Linked DNA regions of Notamacropus eugenii. The protein of the gene in region 2 interacts with the protein of the main gene of each other region in a pairwise test. Links are inferred from orthologs where the notes say so. Each region holds a gene or a part of one and is shown on either strand. Other genes may lie near its edges.

Evidence for each region.
Region 1: the proteins of GPS2 (region 2) and SESTD1 interact in binary tests that used the Homo sapiens proteins (3 or more experiments, as listed by UniProt). The two-hybrid records come from large-scale screens. The link is inferred for Notamacropus eugenii from reciprocal best matches to the Homo sapiens genes GPS2 and SESTD1.

The regions. Positions count from the first base shown.
Region 1 is NC_092876.1:242,524,819-242,532,696, forward strand, and holds the start of SESTD1 (SEC14 domain and spectrin repeat-containing protein 1), read right to left. Parts: upstream 3,098-7,878; 5' UTR 2,470-3,097; intron 1,385-2,469; exon of another isoform or gene 1,327-1,384; intron 1-1,326. UniProt on the Homo sapiens protein: May act as the primary docking protein directing membrane turnover and assembly of the transient receptor potential channels TRPC4 and TRPC5.
Region 2 is NC_092873.1:78,711,438-78,719,190, reverse strand, and holds the start of GPS2 (G protein pathway suppressor 2), read right to left. Parts: upstream 3,244-7,753; 5' UTR 2,812-3,243; exon of another isoform or gene 2,653-2,811; intron 2,301-2,652; 5' UTR 2,200-2,300; coding exon 2,106-2,199; intron 1,706-2,105; coding exon 1,596-1,705; intron 1,499-1,595; coding exon 1,359-1,498; intron 1,165-1,358; coding exon 1,085-1,164; intron 977-1,084; coding exon 894-976; intron 540-893; coding exon 389-539; intron 282-388; coding exon 192-281; intron 106-191; coding exon 26-105; intron 1-25. Other genes in the region: NEURL4 (neuralized-like protein 4), read right to left, coding at 4,208-4,412, 4,724-4,892, 5,019-5,131, 5,813-5,957, 6,150-6,257, 6,560-6,647, 6,926-7,105, 7,507-7,665. UniProt on the Homo sapiens protein: Key regulator of inflammation, lipid metabolism and mitochondrion homeostasis that acts by inhibiting the activity of the ubiquitin-conjugating enzyme UBE2N/Ubc13, thereby inhibiting 'Lys-63'-linked ubiquitination.

The DNA of each region.
Region 1 (7,878 bases), on a different chromosome or scaffold from region 2:
ACATTCAGTTGTAAGTTAATACTGAAGTAAAAGTAACGTGTTTCAAGTTGGGCTTATTTTTTGACTTAGATGTTTTTAAAGTCTGCTTTGTCAGCTTTAAGTTTCTTCAGGGTCAATGGAAAAGAGATAAAGAAGGTGCTCACCTCAAAGAGTCCCTTAATGTTTGTGAAAGATGAATTGGGAATAGTGAGTGACGTTTTAGCGGTTTATCTGAACAGCAGACATTTAATTATCAGACATCTACGAAATAAGAATAGTGATTTAAAATGCCACAAACTTAAGTACAAAGAACACTGGTTTAGGAGCAGTAGTCAGTCTTTCTAGTCCTAAATCCTAGTCCTTAATACCAGTGTAGCTTTGAGCAAGCTTAACTTGTACAGAAAACACCAGCAATGGAATAGGACCTGGATTCCAGTATAGACTCTCCAAGTTTACTAGACTCTGTATGACCCTAGGCTAGTCACCCCCACCTCTCTGGGCCTGAGTTTCTTTTTAATTTATAAAATTAGGTCAGAGTTAATACTATGTTCCTTCCAGTAATCATACAAACTGTAGATGCTCCTCCATAACCCTCCTCTAAGCTCTTCTGACTTTTCTTTCACTTATTCTAAAATGTCTCCCATTACTTCTAGATCGTGGCTGTTAAGTAGATCAAGTTCAAAATATGCCACAACAACTAATTAATCTTCCTGTCTGTGCTTTCACAGGTACTTGTTTGAAGGTTAATTTTAGTCTAAGAAATGAGTGAATAAACATGTTTACTGCATAAACATATGCTGCAAAATTATTTCCTGGTATTCTGGGCACAAAAAGAAAATACTGTAATGTTGAGTAAGTGTGTAACCATGTGCTTGCCACTTCCTTTGGGATTTTTGTATTTAGTCACAGGGCAAAAACAGTTACCAGCTTTTATCCACTTAAAAGTATTCAGGTTTCCTGGTTCCAGAACAATGAAGTATTTTACTGGGGAGGAGGGGGGGAGAGAGAAAGAGAAGGGGAGGGAACAGGAGGTAACAGGAGTATATGTTCCTTTCATTTTGTATTGTTCCAAAAATGAGTTGTAAAGGCAACTAGGTGTAAGAGTTTTCCTTTAAAAAAAGAAAAGGCTTTTTCATCTAAAAAATTAATATTCTCGATGTAAATGAAATTCCAGGATGCCAATTTTAAGGTGAGACCTTAGTAGCTGCCACTTAACAATATGATTGGTAATGAGAAAGAAAAGCTAACAAAGTAAGTGACCTGTCAATTTCAAACCCTAGTTACAGAGTAGCTAGAAAGCACTTCAATCTCATTGAGATTGTGTGAGGGAGAAAACAAAAAGGATACCAAAGCACTAACGCCATTGTGACTTAAATCGGGCCAATCCTAAACAGGGCCAATAAACCTACACAATAGGAAGTCAAAAGAAAATAATTAATAATAACATCTCTTAAAATATATATATGTATATATCCTAAAATATTTTAGGGAGATTCAATTTCACCATACGTTTATATATGGATATAGACAGAAATATATAATATAGAGGCAGACAGATGTAAATATGTAGATATATATCTTAAAATACTTTCGGTATATGCAATTTCTCTTTATAAATGGATATAGATATATGGATACAGACAGATATAGAGAATGTTTATGTCTCTGCATCTGCCTATATCCATATGGATATTTCTATGTAGATTAAAAATGTGGATATAGACAGATTTAAATATAGATATAGATTTACAATACATATATACACACCCTAAAATACTTTGGGTCTAGGCAATATGTTGCCTAGACCCAAAGTATTTCAGGATATCTCCATCCATTCATCCATCCAGCTAGCTAGCTATCTCCGGCTTTGGCTCTCCAATCTGTCTTTTAAAAAAAAACACACCCAAACGCGGCTCCTCCGGCAGGATACCACCATCTTCCTCCTTTTTGTGGCTCTCCCAAAGCTGAAAGGACCTTCCCATCGTGCAGGCCCGGGGAGCGAGGGGGTGGAGGAGCCCGTGCCGGTACTACCCCCACCCCCGGGCAGGTCCGGTACAGGGCTACACAAAGGAAGCGAAGCCCCGGGGCTGGGATGGGAGGGAAATCGCCGCAGACCCCGACCCGAGGAAAGGAGGGAGGGGGCGCCACCGTCCAGACCTGTTACTCCCCCGGCCCCCCCGCCCTTTGGATTGGAAATGTTAAACTGTCTTTTCCCAAAAAACCTCCTTTCCGGTTCTCTCCGTTTGAAAACGGGGCGCGTTAGGACGCACGGAGGTCCGGGGCTGGGGAGGGGGCTGCCCGGTGCTTTGTCTACGGGGCCGGGCCGGGCCGGTCCTCCCAAGCGGCTCCTCTCCTTCCCCGCGGGGGCGACCCCCGGCCCCGGCCCGGCCCGGCGCGTCCTTCTCCCCTCCGGCCCGGGCCTCGGGGCCTGCACGCGCCGGGGCCAGAGCCGGGGCCGGGGCTGGGGCCGGGCGGGGGGCGCACACTCACCTGGGTGGCTCCGGCGGCGGGCGGCTGCGGAGCGCGGCTCTGAAGGACGCGGGGAAGGGAGGGAGGGAGGCGGGCGGGCCCAGGCGGGCGGCGGCGGCTCCAGTCACTCCCGGCAATCGCTGTCCCAGCCCCTCCGTGCGTCAGGCAGGGGGCGGCGGCGGCGGCCCAGTGACCCACTTCACACCCCGCCCGCGCGCCCTCCCCTCCCCCACCGTGGCACGCGAGCACGCGCACCCCCCCCCCGCGCGCCCCCTCCACCACCCCACCCCCGCACTACGACCGGGACCCGAACCTGAACCCTGTGGTGTGCGAAGTACCCGGCCCCTCCCCCTTCCTCCTATGTGGCCCCAGAGATCACGGGGAGGGGCCATGGGGATTGGGGTGCTCCGAGGATCTGGGACCTAGTCCATTCCGGAGCCATCTCTGCTCCAAAACCCTACAAACTACCACGAATTCTAGTTCTTATCCTCTCCCCCACCTACTCCCCCACCTCCGACTTTGTGTGGGGACCTTGGACAAGTCACCTCTGATTCCTCATCTGTAAAAGAAAAAAAAGTGGGGAGGGGGCCTCCAAGGTCCTTTCCATCTGTAAATCTGGAAGAGGCTACTGTCCTTCTTCTTAAGCCCTCTGATTGTGGTCACTTGTTAGGGTCTCCTGAGCATGGCAGACACTTAGCGCCTGAGCTTCCCTGGGTTAAGACCAAGTACCCTGTGAGAGGAATAGGTAGCACTAATGAATGGGATTGTTAGGATTGGACAAAAAAGGTCTCTTCAATTCTTTCATTTCACAGATGAGGAAACAGACCCAGAGAGGGAGAGTAATTGGTAGTAGAGAATTTAAGGGAAAGAAATGAGGATGGAAGAGTCTTGATTTCAGTGCTTGTTTTCTTATTTGGGGGTATAGCCAAATCCTATGCCACCAATATATGATGGAATTCTCAAAAATCTATTGTAATTCCAGGCGGACAATCTTCTTACCCTGTTCCTAGCCCAGTGCTCATCGAACTGTTAATCATTTTGAATATAAATTGTTGATTACTCCAGTATACGAGCTACCTCTTCCCTCTTGCTTCCACTCCCATCATTACCGACCTTGTTCCATTTTCTTACATTAAAACCTATTACATTCCTTTTCTCCGTGAATAAGTTACTTTTATCCCATTCCATTAGATATTTTAATAAATTTAACCTGCCAATTTAATTTCCTTATCCTAGCCCATCAGTACTACTGATCTCCCAATCCCATTCCTCCAGCCTCTCCTTCCTGCTCCACCCCAAGCTACAAATATATCTAGTTTAACTCCCTGGACCTCACTTGAGGGATCTAAGCCTACTGAGGAAACTACCCCCTTCACCACAACCACCTCAGCCTTCAAGGATGACAATGCTGGCAAGCACCAAGAAATTTCTGTTCCCTGCTGGTTCCTTCCCTTGATTAGGATCTCCCAATATCTGTCCCTCAAAAATTTTCCCATCTTGCATCCCATTCAGACAACTTGAGTTGGAAGCCCAGTAGAAATGTTAAAACAAAACTCATTTTTGCCCCTAAAACCTACCCCCAAAATTACCTATTACAGCCAAAGGCAACAAACACCATCCTCTCAATCCCCCAGGTTTGCAACCTAGAATGTCATCCTAAACTCCTAGCTCTCACTCCCACATATCCAAACTGTTACCAGTCTTTCAATTTCACTTCTTGCATTATCTCTTTCTTCTCTCCCCTAACACAGAGACCACCATGGGGCAGGTTCTCATCACCTCATGTCTGGACTATTACAATAGCCTGTTGGTGGGTCTGTCTCCCTCAACCCTCTCCCCCACTGTAATCCATCCTATATTCAACCACCAAAGTAATTTCCTAGCGCACATGTTTGACCATGTCACACCTCTCCCCCACTCAATAAACTCCTGTGACTCCCAATCACCCAGGATCTAATACAAAATCCTCTGGTGTTCAGACCTTCATAACCTAGCCCCTTTCAGCCTTTCTAGTCTTCTTATACTTTAGTCCTTTCCCCAATTCCACCCACTGACAATGACACCCTTGCTGATCCATGCACAAGACAATTCATCTCTCAGCTCCCCAATTAGATTGTGAGCTCCTTGAAGGCATTTTTCCCCTTTTTTTTATACCCCCAGCACTTAGTAAAGTGCACATAGTAGGTGCTTAATACATGTTGATTGATTCCTGCACATTTAGTTATTTATTTTGAGCTCAGCTAGGCCTCCAGGAAGAGAGGATTTTAGTTATGCAAGAAATAAATATGACTGAAGAGGGTTGTCAGAATCAATGGGGAAATGTGGTGTGTAAAGAAGAGAATGGTTTTCACAAGGCCTTGGAACCAGGTTTATGAGGCCTGCACAGCCACTATTCCTCCTTCCTCTGACCTGGATTCCCTGGGCAATTTGTGAACCTTGTACATGACCAGTAGTGCCTGAAATGACTTCCCTTCTTTTCTGTCTATTTGATATTCTACTTAGCATTCAAGCTGGTGGCACGGCCTCCAGGAAACCTACTTGACCTAACCAGTCAAGGTTCTGTAGCACTTTGCTCTCATCGTGTTTCATTTAATGTTACTGTTATTTGTATATGATTCCTCTCATTCTATTTGACTGTGACCTATAAGAGACTAAGCATAGGGGTCCTATTCATCTTTGTGTTCCCCACACTAGCCTAGTACAGTATTCTATACCAGTGATGTCAAAACCAAATAGAGACATGTTAACTTAGAAAATGACAAAGTAACATTATCTATGTTGTATTTTTATTTACTTTGTTAAAAATTTCCCAATTACATTTTTGTTTTATATAAATTTTTAATTTTCTAAAGTTTTTTTAAAATTTATTTTATTTTTAACATGGAGTAAAATAAGCACTTCCATAACATAGTAAAATATAAAAAGATGATTGCACATGAAACTACAAATTCACTATGCACAACTTGCTATTGCTTTCAAATATACAAGATTATCATGTAAACATGACTAAGGTGAAAATGTATTTAACAGGAATGTATGTGTAGAACCTATATAAGACTGCATGCCATCTGGGGAGGGAGCGGAGAGGGAGGGGGTAAGGAGGGGAAGAGAGGGGAAAAAATCTAAGATAAATGGAAGTGATTGTAGAAAACTGAAAACAAAATTAAATAAAAAATAAAATATCAAAAAAAAAGATTATCACATAAATTTCTTTTTTTTCCTTTTTTCTTCCGTCTCCCCCAGATGGCTACTACTAGACACAAATAGGTGTGTGTGTATGTGCGTGCCTGTGTACATACATACATATACACATATAAAACATTCCATTACATTTTAATCTGGGTCTGGCCTCATTCTGGAAGTTTGTAGCCACTTTTAATAAATACCAGTCAAAAATTCAGCAACACAATATACCAATGTGCACTTTAGCACTCAATTTTATAGTATGACACGCAAGATCTTCTATATCCCAATTGTTAACTAACCTTGAGTAAATTGGAAACCATTTTAAATCTCAAACTCTCATTCTCCTCTATCTATCATTGTACTCAAAAACCCCAAAGGGCAGATTTTGAGGTAGTGGTAACTGATAACATCTGGATTTCCCAGTCACCAATCCTGGAACCCCCTCAAAGAAGGGAACAACTTCAATACATGTCAGAGATGGGATTTTCCTGTCCCGGAAAGTCATCTAGAGAAATGGCACACTATTCATCAGCCCAAACTAGATGCAGATTTGGAATCCTGCATCATCGCACCCCTATCTCCACTTGGCTGTAAAGAACACCTAATAAATCTTTGCAGGACACATGTTTGTGAGTGGGTTTCCTCCTTTCTCACTTCTCTAGTGCAGATTCTTTTGTTGTCATTCAGTCACTTTTCAGTCATGTCCAATTCTCTGTGGGAAATCCCATTTGGGATTTCCTTGGCAAAGATACTGGAGTGGTTTGCTGTTTTCTTCTCCAGCTCATTTTACAGATGAGGAAACTGAGGCAAAGAGGGTTAAATGAATTTGCCCAAGGTCACACAGCTAGTAAGTGTCTGAGGCCAGATTTGAAATCAGGAAGATAGATCTTCCTGACTCCAAGGTCAACACTCTATCACTGTGCCACCTAGCTGCCCCAATGCAGATTCTAGATTGAATAACTAAAATAGCAGGAAAAAATAAACAAATATCCTTTCCTATTTTAAATTCCCTTGATTTCACAAAGTCTTCGTTCTAGTTGCTTCAGTGAGTAACCCTAATTGAAGGACCTTAGTTCAAACCCTGAGCTCTGTTACTTACTGCCATTATATGACATTGGACAAATACCATCACTTCTCTTATCCTCAAGTTCCTTACCTGTAAATAAGACTTTGAACTATACGAAATCGAAGGTCTTTTCTAGCTATAAATCTATGAACTGTGACTCCCCTATTCTAATTCAGGAGGATGTTTAATATAATAACATTTATGCAGTGTTTTCCATGATCTCATTTGATCTTCTGAACAACTCTATGAAGTTTATATTATTATTCTCTGAAAAAGAGCAGCTCCAGAAAGTTGAAGGGGAGGGAGAGAGAGTGAGAGTGGGAAATGAATGTCTGGGAAAGGACTCAGGAAGATCTATAAGATAGGACAGTCTGGCTAGGCTAGAGAGAAGGTAGAACCAAGATAGATTAAAAACGAGTTTCAGTATACTTGTGAGCAGGACAGCTATTCATGGCCAGGCTTCTGTTAACATCATCATTTTTTCCCTTTTTCATTTTAGCCCTAAGTATGTTTTCCTTTTACTGTGCTGTAATAAACTCTTTTAAAAGAAAAGCCTTTTATGGTTGCGAGCTCTTTGCAAGGGGGAAGGGGAATGGAACAAAAAAAACAAACCAAACAAAGAAGTAATGCCTTTGTGGGGGGGGGGGAGTAGAAGAGGGGGAAGGAACTAAAGAAATATAAAGAGGAGATGTTATTAGCTCTGATCCTGAAAGAGGCACCTGTGAACACAGATCTGGGCTTGTTGATGGAAAAATAAATAAAGGGATTATGGTGTTCATTCCATTGTGCCACACATTTAATGTTCCCCTCTGAACTACCTAACATTCTTTGTTTATCATAATAAAACTTTTGTACTACCTGACATTCTTTTCTTATCATTATCCTCAGAATAGTGGCATAACTGAATATTTTACATAACACACTGATACCCTCATCCACTAAGTTCAAAACAGATCATCCAGTTCCTTAAATAAAGAATACCTCTGTTATGGCAGAACACTGAACTGGGAGGCAGAAGACTTGTATTATAGTTTCATTTCTCCTATTAATTAGCTAAGATTAAAAATTTCTCTAGGTTAGGGGTTCTTAACGTGGGGTACATGGATAGATTTCAAGGAGTCCATGAACTTGGATGGGGAAAAATATCACACCTTATTTACACTAACTTCTAATTGAAA
Region 2 (7,753 bases):
AACTACCCCAAAAGTAGGGTCTCACCGAATCAGAGAAGCCAGATTGCTGGTTAGCATGTTCCAGCTGCTTTTGAAGGGACAGGGCATTGCCAGGTTGCAGGAACCCTAGGACAAGAGGGATCAATTGGTGAGTACAGGAAGAAGAAACACAAGTCAGGGAACAGCACAGAAGGACCTACAAGTGACATTACCTGTTTGTGTGGGCTGGTAGTGGCCATGTACTGCATAGGACTGGGGCTGAGGTTGGGACAGGTACTGAACAGCAGGAAAAGCTGAAGGGGCTGAGGGGAGGAAGTCAGACATGGATAAAGACCATCCACAAGCCAAATTCTCCAAAATCTTCACTGCCTGTCCCACCCCACCCCTGTTTCTAGGTGTTTGCCCTCACCTCTGAGCTGTTGGCTGGGACTATAGCCTGGCTGAGTAGGTCCATAGTGAGGTGGTGGCTGGGCTGCCCCATAGGCCCCTCCTGGGCTACCCTGGAATTGCCCATGTTCTGAGGTTCCTGGAAAAGCTGTTGACCCCACAAAATGACGGGTCTGGAGAAGATGTGGAGAGTTAAGATTGGAAAGTGTTCAAATATTAGGTACAAGCTTACAACACACTGTCAGGATAAGTTGTCTGATTTGATAGCTGGAAATCATATATAGAAGTTGCAAAGCAATTTACATACATAATGTGTTTTAAAAATGAGACAAGTTCAGAGAAGCTAAGTGACTTTCAAGGGTCACGCAGGAAGTGTAAGATGTGTTCATCACCTTATCTACCTCTAAAATCACATAACTCCATAATACAATTTATAATTAGGGGAGATTACATTGACATTTTTACCTTCATCACAGCACATTAAATGCCACTGGTAATTAAAATGCCAGGGATCCCTGTCTGCTTACCGTGAGCACTTGGGGTCCAAACATCTGCTTGGCTCTATCAGCAGACATAAGGGTTCCTGGTCTGCTGTGTCCTCCAGGACTGCCTGTGATGAGGTGTAGGGTTCAGATGGCTGCAGGCTCTAAGGAGGTCTCAAACCACCTCCATGATCCTTGCCCCACCTATACCCACCCTTTCCCCTTGTCCACCTCACCCTGCATACTAAGAAGATGTGTCCCTGTGTGTACAGCCAGACTTTGTTGGTATGCTGCAGATGTAAGTGTTGTCAAGTCACTGAAGGGCAAATAAGATCAAAGATGACAAAGCTGTAGGCAACCTTGTAAGTTTTACAGATGAAGAAAAAGTTCCAAAGATATTAAATTTAAAAAATTAGAATGAGATTCCCTAAGATTTATATAGGTGGCATAGGATATGAACCTGGGTTCATTCTCTTCCTGATACCACATTCCCATTTCACAAAGCCATACCTTAGTCTAGGCCCTCCATGTCCCCACCTTTGCTCCTTACGACGCCTTTTCTCCTCCTCATGTAAAACTTTCTTGAGCTGCAGGAAGAGCTGGTGCTTCTCCTCTTGTAGGGCCAGGAGCTTCTCTTGCAGTTTAAGGATCTAGGAGGATCATGGAGACAGTGAAAAGGAGGTCGGCCAGAGCAGAAAGGGGAGCAGGGTGAGTAAAGAGATTAGTGTGTGTGTAAAAATTGCTTACCTGTTCTTTGGTCTCTTCCAGTGACATCCTTTCTTCCATTTCCTTTTTCTTCCTCCTCTCCTGTTCCTCCTTCATTTTCTGTTCCATCATCTTGTCTACCTCCTCTTCCTCTGGGGGAGGGGCATGGGGTTAAAACCTTAAAGCTAGAAGGGAATCTCAGACATCAACCCCTCATATTTAACACAGAAAACAGGCCTACGCAGGGAAAGTGACGCCTCAATTCAAGACCCCACAACTATGAGAACTGACAGTAGTTTTTCAAATCTGGCCTCGGGCACGTCTGAGCTGTGTGACCCTGGATAAGTCACTTAACCTGTTTGCCTGAGTTTTCCGTAACTGTGAAATGGAAACAACTGCACCTTTCTCGCAAGGCAGCTTTACAGGAGCTAGACGGACGCTTGCTCCTCCCCTCCCTCTGGAGTTCAGACCTCTAACATGCAAGGCCTCGTCCGGGATTGCCACGTGCTGCTGCTCCCTCGGAGCTCTGGGCTGGCTAGCACCCTCACTCACCCTGTCTCTTCCTCTCCCGCTCCATCATTATGTGTCGATGCAGTGCCCTAGCCATGGCATTGGAGAGCTTGGGGCGTTCCAGAAGGGCCGGCATGGTGACCCGCAGGGTGCTGTCACACAAACTGGGGTACGGATCCTGAGACTTGATCACTGACAGTCCAGTCCCAGAAATGAATCTGGTCACCCAGCGGAAATCTGGTTGGTTGGGGGATAAGCATGATCACAGAGGGGAAGCGGGGATCCTACCAGCGAAAGGGGAACCTGAGAGCCCTCCCCACCACCCCGAAGGCTCCACCGCGACCCGGCAGCCAGGCAAGGCTGGGGGGGTGGGGGTAGAAGGAGGCTGAGCTCCCCGTGCTTGGGACGGAGGGCAGACCCCCACCCCGCCCTGGCCCCGGACTCCGTCCGCTGGGCTCCGAGGGCGGGCGGGGCTGGAGGGCGGGGCCGGAGACAGCATCAGGACTCCGGAGGCGACACCGCTGGGGCGTATGGGGCAGGTCACGTGCTTCTCCCGTCAGGCGCCCCGCCACCCCCTCGAGCCCATCACCTGCTCCAGCCAGCGGGGTTGGGGTCGAGTGCCACACTGGGTTCCCCACCCTCCCCACTTGTCCAGCAGCTACCAGCGGTGACCCCGCTCTGCGCAGGCGCGACCAGGGTCCGAAAGTCTCGGACTAAACCTCCAGGCCCCCAGCCCCTCCCTACCTACCTCCTCTTCCTTCTCACTTCAGCCCTCCTACAGGCCTCACGGACTTCGTCATTTCCTGACTCGTGAGTAAGTACTTCCGGGGCCACCGATGAGCGATGGCGAAGCTTAGCACACTGCCTGAGTGGGGGAGGGGACGGAAGGGCGGAAGAGGCTGGGGAAAAGGGAAGCTACGGCGGCTGCGCGGGCTGCTCCGGGCTCGCCTGGCCGGCGCCCAGACAAACCGTGGAGGCGTGGAGTAAACGTAGCGGGCGCTGGAGTGGGATGTTTTGGGGGGTGCGCCGATCTTCTACCGTGTGACCCTCCCGCGTCTCCTCCCAGCGCTGGGAGGGCTCCTTCCCCCTGAAAGCCTAACCCCAAGGCCAGGCCCGGCTGCTGCTGGAAGGCGGGGGCCGGGGCCGAGACCCAGACGAGCCGTTCCGTGTTTTACAGGTGACGGGGCTTGCGCACCGGGATCCCTCAGCGTCCTTTAATGCTCACTAACGCCGCCCGGGCTTTCCCAGGCCGTGCCCTGGGAGGCCACGGGACGCACGCTCGGGGAAACGCTGAACTGCAGAGAGTGATCCAAGTGAGCGGCAATGCCGACCCTGAGGCACAAGGGCAGCGGAAGGTTCTGTGGCAGCCTCGGGACCGAGGCAGACGGCACGGGCGTTGGGGCCCATCAGTTCTCTCCTCCTAAGACTCTCCAGGACGTACACAGCATTGAGAGAGAAGACGCGGAGGACAGCGCCCCTTCCTGACCCCCGGCATCTGCTCACGGAGCTTCACTACAGCCTCGTGAAGCACATGGCCTTATCCCCACTTTGCAGTCAGGAAGTGACTTGCCCAGGCTCAGGCGGGACGCTCCTTGGAACTCTCCTGGACTAGGATTTCCCTAGATAAGTGCAAGTGGAGACTGGGACAAAGTTGTATCTGAGACAGGACGTTTATTTCAGTTCTTTAAGAAATCAGAGTATGTAACAGCTGTACAAGGGGTGGCCCCTTCTCCCCCGGCTATTCCTTCCCAATGGAAAAAGTTTCAACGGAGAGGGGAGGGAGGCAACTCCCTCTGGGGATTCACATTAACCAGAAACAACGCAAATAAATTAAGTGATGGGAGTTTCCCCAAATCAGTGCATGAGGAGAGGGGAGGGAAGTAGTGGGGTCAAGACAGAGAAGTGTTCTGGACCATTACAATTTCCCCAAATCTGTGGGCAATCCCCAACCCAGGAGAGCTACTACCCCCCCAAACTGGGAACTCCTCCAAACAAAAATGCAACGCCCCCTGGAAATCTGGGAAACTCCCATCATGTCCACTCTCTTCCCTGGGAACAGTTGGGGGAATGTATAAAAAGTTGGTGCTTCCAAAGTCCATAAACCTTCCCTGTCATTGTGCTTGGCAATATAGGCCCACATCCTCTCACTCCACTCGTACCAGCAAGGCATAGAGTAATGTGGCACCCTTTTCCTTGGTCACCCACTCAAGCTCAGCAGGGCTAAAGTGGGGGTCAGGAGGGCCCCCAAGAGCTGTAGAGGGTGGGCCAGGTGTGTAGGATCCAGGACGTACACACACCTGGAATGCCACCTGGGCCTGGTATGGCCTTTGAGATTTGGGATCCCGGAATCTAAAGACAAGAAAGAAGGAAGGGCCTGTTGGGACAGTATGAGAAAAAAAAAAAACATAGGAAGCAAAGGGTAGAAATGTGCAAATACATAGTGGAAAAATTGCGGAATAGAGGGAAAGAAGGAAGGGCATGGGGAAACCAACAGGCAAGGGAAAAGTGAGAAGAGGGAGATTGGAACCAAAATCTAATGGAAACAAGACATTAAAAAAAAGCAGGCTTAGGGACCCCACTCTAGGTTTCAGCAATGTCCCCCACTCCTTAGTTACCCCGACTTCAGTTCCCACCCCCACCCCCCAGTCTCCTTCACTCACTGCACTTTGGAAGCAAGGGCATCAATCCCAGCAGCATGCCGAAGGGAGGGGGAAAGCAGCACAGGAGGGGGCTGCTCCTCACGAGGAGGGACACAGTTTTCACCAGATTCTCCATACCCACACCCTGGCTCTGCCTTTAAAGGCCTACAGCTGAGGATTGAAGCACTGCCTGAAAGGAAAGGGTAATGGTTAGGGGTCTCTCCACCCTCTATACCTCCTCCTTATGGAAGAAGACCTGATTTCCCCCAATCATTCCCCTCAGCATCATCATACAACTTTGTTTATCCTTTCTTACCTGCCCCCAGCTCTCCTCGGTCTAGCACCCTCCGAACGGCCCCAACACTACTCCCATGATAGGCCATATGCCACTTCTTGGATAGTGCTGCTGTCTCCAATCGTGGATTCACTCTGCAGGAAAGAAATGTGTATGTCTGTGCTGACCTTGATCACCCCTCAAAGCCCGTTCTTTTCAAAGAGGAAAAGTTGGACTTGTTCTGTCCAACTGTCTTGCTGAAAACTGCCTGGTAAGAAACAGGATCCTAGGAGTATAGATCTATAGAGAATTCAAAGCCAGGTCTTCCACCTCCCAGGCCAGGTCACTTCTAATTGTTATCATACGCTAAAAAACAATTTCTGAACCTACACATCAAATAAAATAGGTATCTGCACATATATAATAGAACAAAAAGAGAATTGTACAAGAAGCTGCACATTTCTAATAATAGCTGCACGTAAGTACAGCTTGTTTTTTCTTTTAGATGTTCAACTTGTAGCTTTGTCCTGCGCTTCCCTATGCCGACCTTTTGTTTTTTAAAAAGAAAAAATTTCTCCATTGACCCTTTTTTTTTCCAATGGTGTGGGAAAGAATGGTATTAGGAAGGCAAAGGGGGACTAGGGAGAGGGCCGCAAAAAAAAAAAGCACACCTCGTAAATTTATGCCACTTCCTTGAATAGGAAATTGTATATCCTATTGAAGTGACATTTTCTAGACCTAAAAATGAAGGATAAAAGAAAACTCTTTCTGCCCTCCCTGGGCATCGAGTCCTAGGCTGCCCCAGGCTTCCACCCCTCCCACCTTAAGCCACATGCCTGAGGTTAAAGCGGCACCAGCCAAAGGGCAAGGCATACTCTTGTGGCGGCTCCCCCCGACGACGATGTGCCTCATCGCCCCGAAGTTTCCGACAGGACTCACAGTAGCACAGGCTTCGCTTGGGGGGTGGGACAAAGTAATCCTCTGGCAAAGAAGAGAAAGGTTGAATTCAGGGGCTATATTTCCTAAAGAATCCTTATTTCTATATCTCATCTGTGTCAGCCTTCAGAAATGAGCTCATTCCCTCCTCCCCCTCTCCCCAAACTATTTGGGGGTTTGAGGAAAGCAACTCTAGTGTCCCAAGAAAAGAGAGTTGATAAAATGATCAAGTCTCACCTGGCAGTAGCAGCAACTCCTGGAACCGAGAGCAGAGGGCATGGTATTCACAACTCTTTAAAGGACTGGCATCTGGAGGTGGGGCCCAACATACACTCTCTTTGATGCCTGAAAGGTAGGGCCAAATCAGAGTAGGGAAGGTGTGGGGAGAGAAGAAAACAGTAAAATGGGGACTGGGGGGAAGATGGGAGCAGGGCATATTTTGGGGACATCTGCCTCATTCAACTTCTTAAGTGACTGCGTTTGGGAGGTGGGGGGAAGGGAGGAGTCAGGAAGAAATGATTCTCTGGGGAAGAAGCAAAGAGTTTCATATTAAGGCAACGACAGGTGTCCAAAAACAGAAGTAGAATTAAGAGTAACAAAGTACTCTCCAGCAGGATTGTATAGTACAGGCTCTCCCTGAGCCTCACCATCTACCACATCAGCCTTCTCCATGTCCCCCTGGATTCCAGCTCCCTCCCCATTGGCTGCTCCTGTCTCAAGGCTCATAATTGTCACCTGGAGAAGAAGAAGGGTTGGTTAACCTTTGGTCTGCTGCTCTCCCCTACCACAAAGGATTTTCTCAATCCCACTGTACATCCCTTCCCCTCCCATCCAACCCTTCAGCCTCAATTCCTTTTCCCTTTAAACTCCCCAGTTTGTCCCATCGACCCCATAAAAACTTCACTACACCCCCAATTCTAACTTTTTAAATCACCACCACCACCATGCTCCTCTAACTTCCTAGATTCCTCCCCCCTTCCAGCACTGTTCCTGACCAACCACCCCCTGCTGACCTGCTCACACTGGCCATAGAGGTCCACTAGGGCATGGCAAGGCTGGGGCACCTCAGCCACAGCCACACCCTGGTCCACACCATTGACATAGAGGTGCAGCCCCCCAGACCCGTCCAACCTCAGCCCCAGCACCGTGCCTTCTGGGCACGTGTCCAGGTTTGGCCCATACTTCTCGCAGATCTGGGGGACAGAAGCATGAGAAATGAGCCACTTCTCAAAAACCCCCACCCCTCCAATATCAATACCCAGTCTCCAATATTCTCATCTGGTCACCCCACAAACATACACTTCTTTATACACTTTTACCCTTTTATTCCCAGGCTTCCCTTCTTACAATCCCCTCCCCCAACAATTGTTCTTACCTTTTCCCCACTCAGGGCCCATTCTCTGGGTCTATCTATTACCTCTTCTTTAGGTTCACATTACCTTTGTATTTTACCCCATTTGTTCCAATGACTCCCCAAATTCCTATACCATTCCATTTTTCAGGGCCTTTTCCTTTCCTGATATCCCAATTATCTCCAATCACTGGATCTGCCTTGCCTACAGGACTGTTCCCCTTCTTTACATGTCCTGCCCACCTTGAGGCCATTATGGAAGACACCCTGGCCCCGAAGTAGCCAGGCGGCCCGTTTGAGGGCACAAGCTGAAGCTGGGAAGTTGAGCCGCTCAGGGGGGCAGGCAATGACTCCAAGGGCCAGGGATGAAGTCCACTGCCGGTTCAGGAAGTCCAGCCGCACCTGGGGGAAGCGGGAGATTACCTCCTAGCAGCCACTGACCCACAGGAAGTAGTCTCACTGGGTGGGACAGGGGAGGGAAGAACAAGAC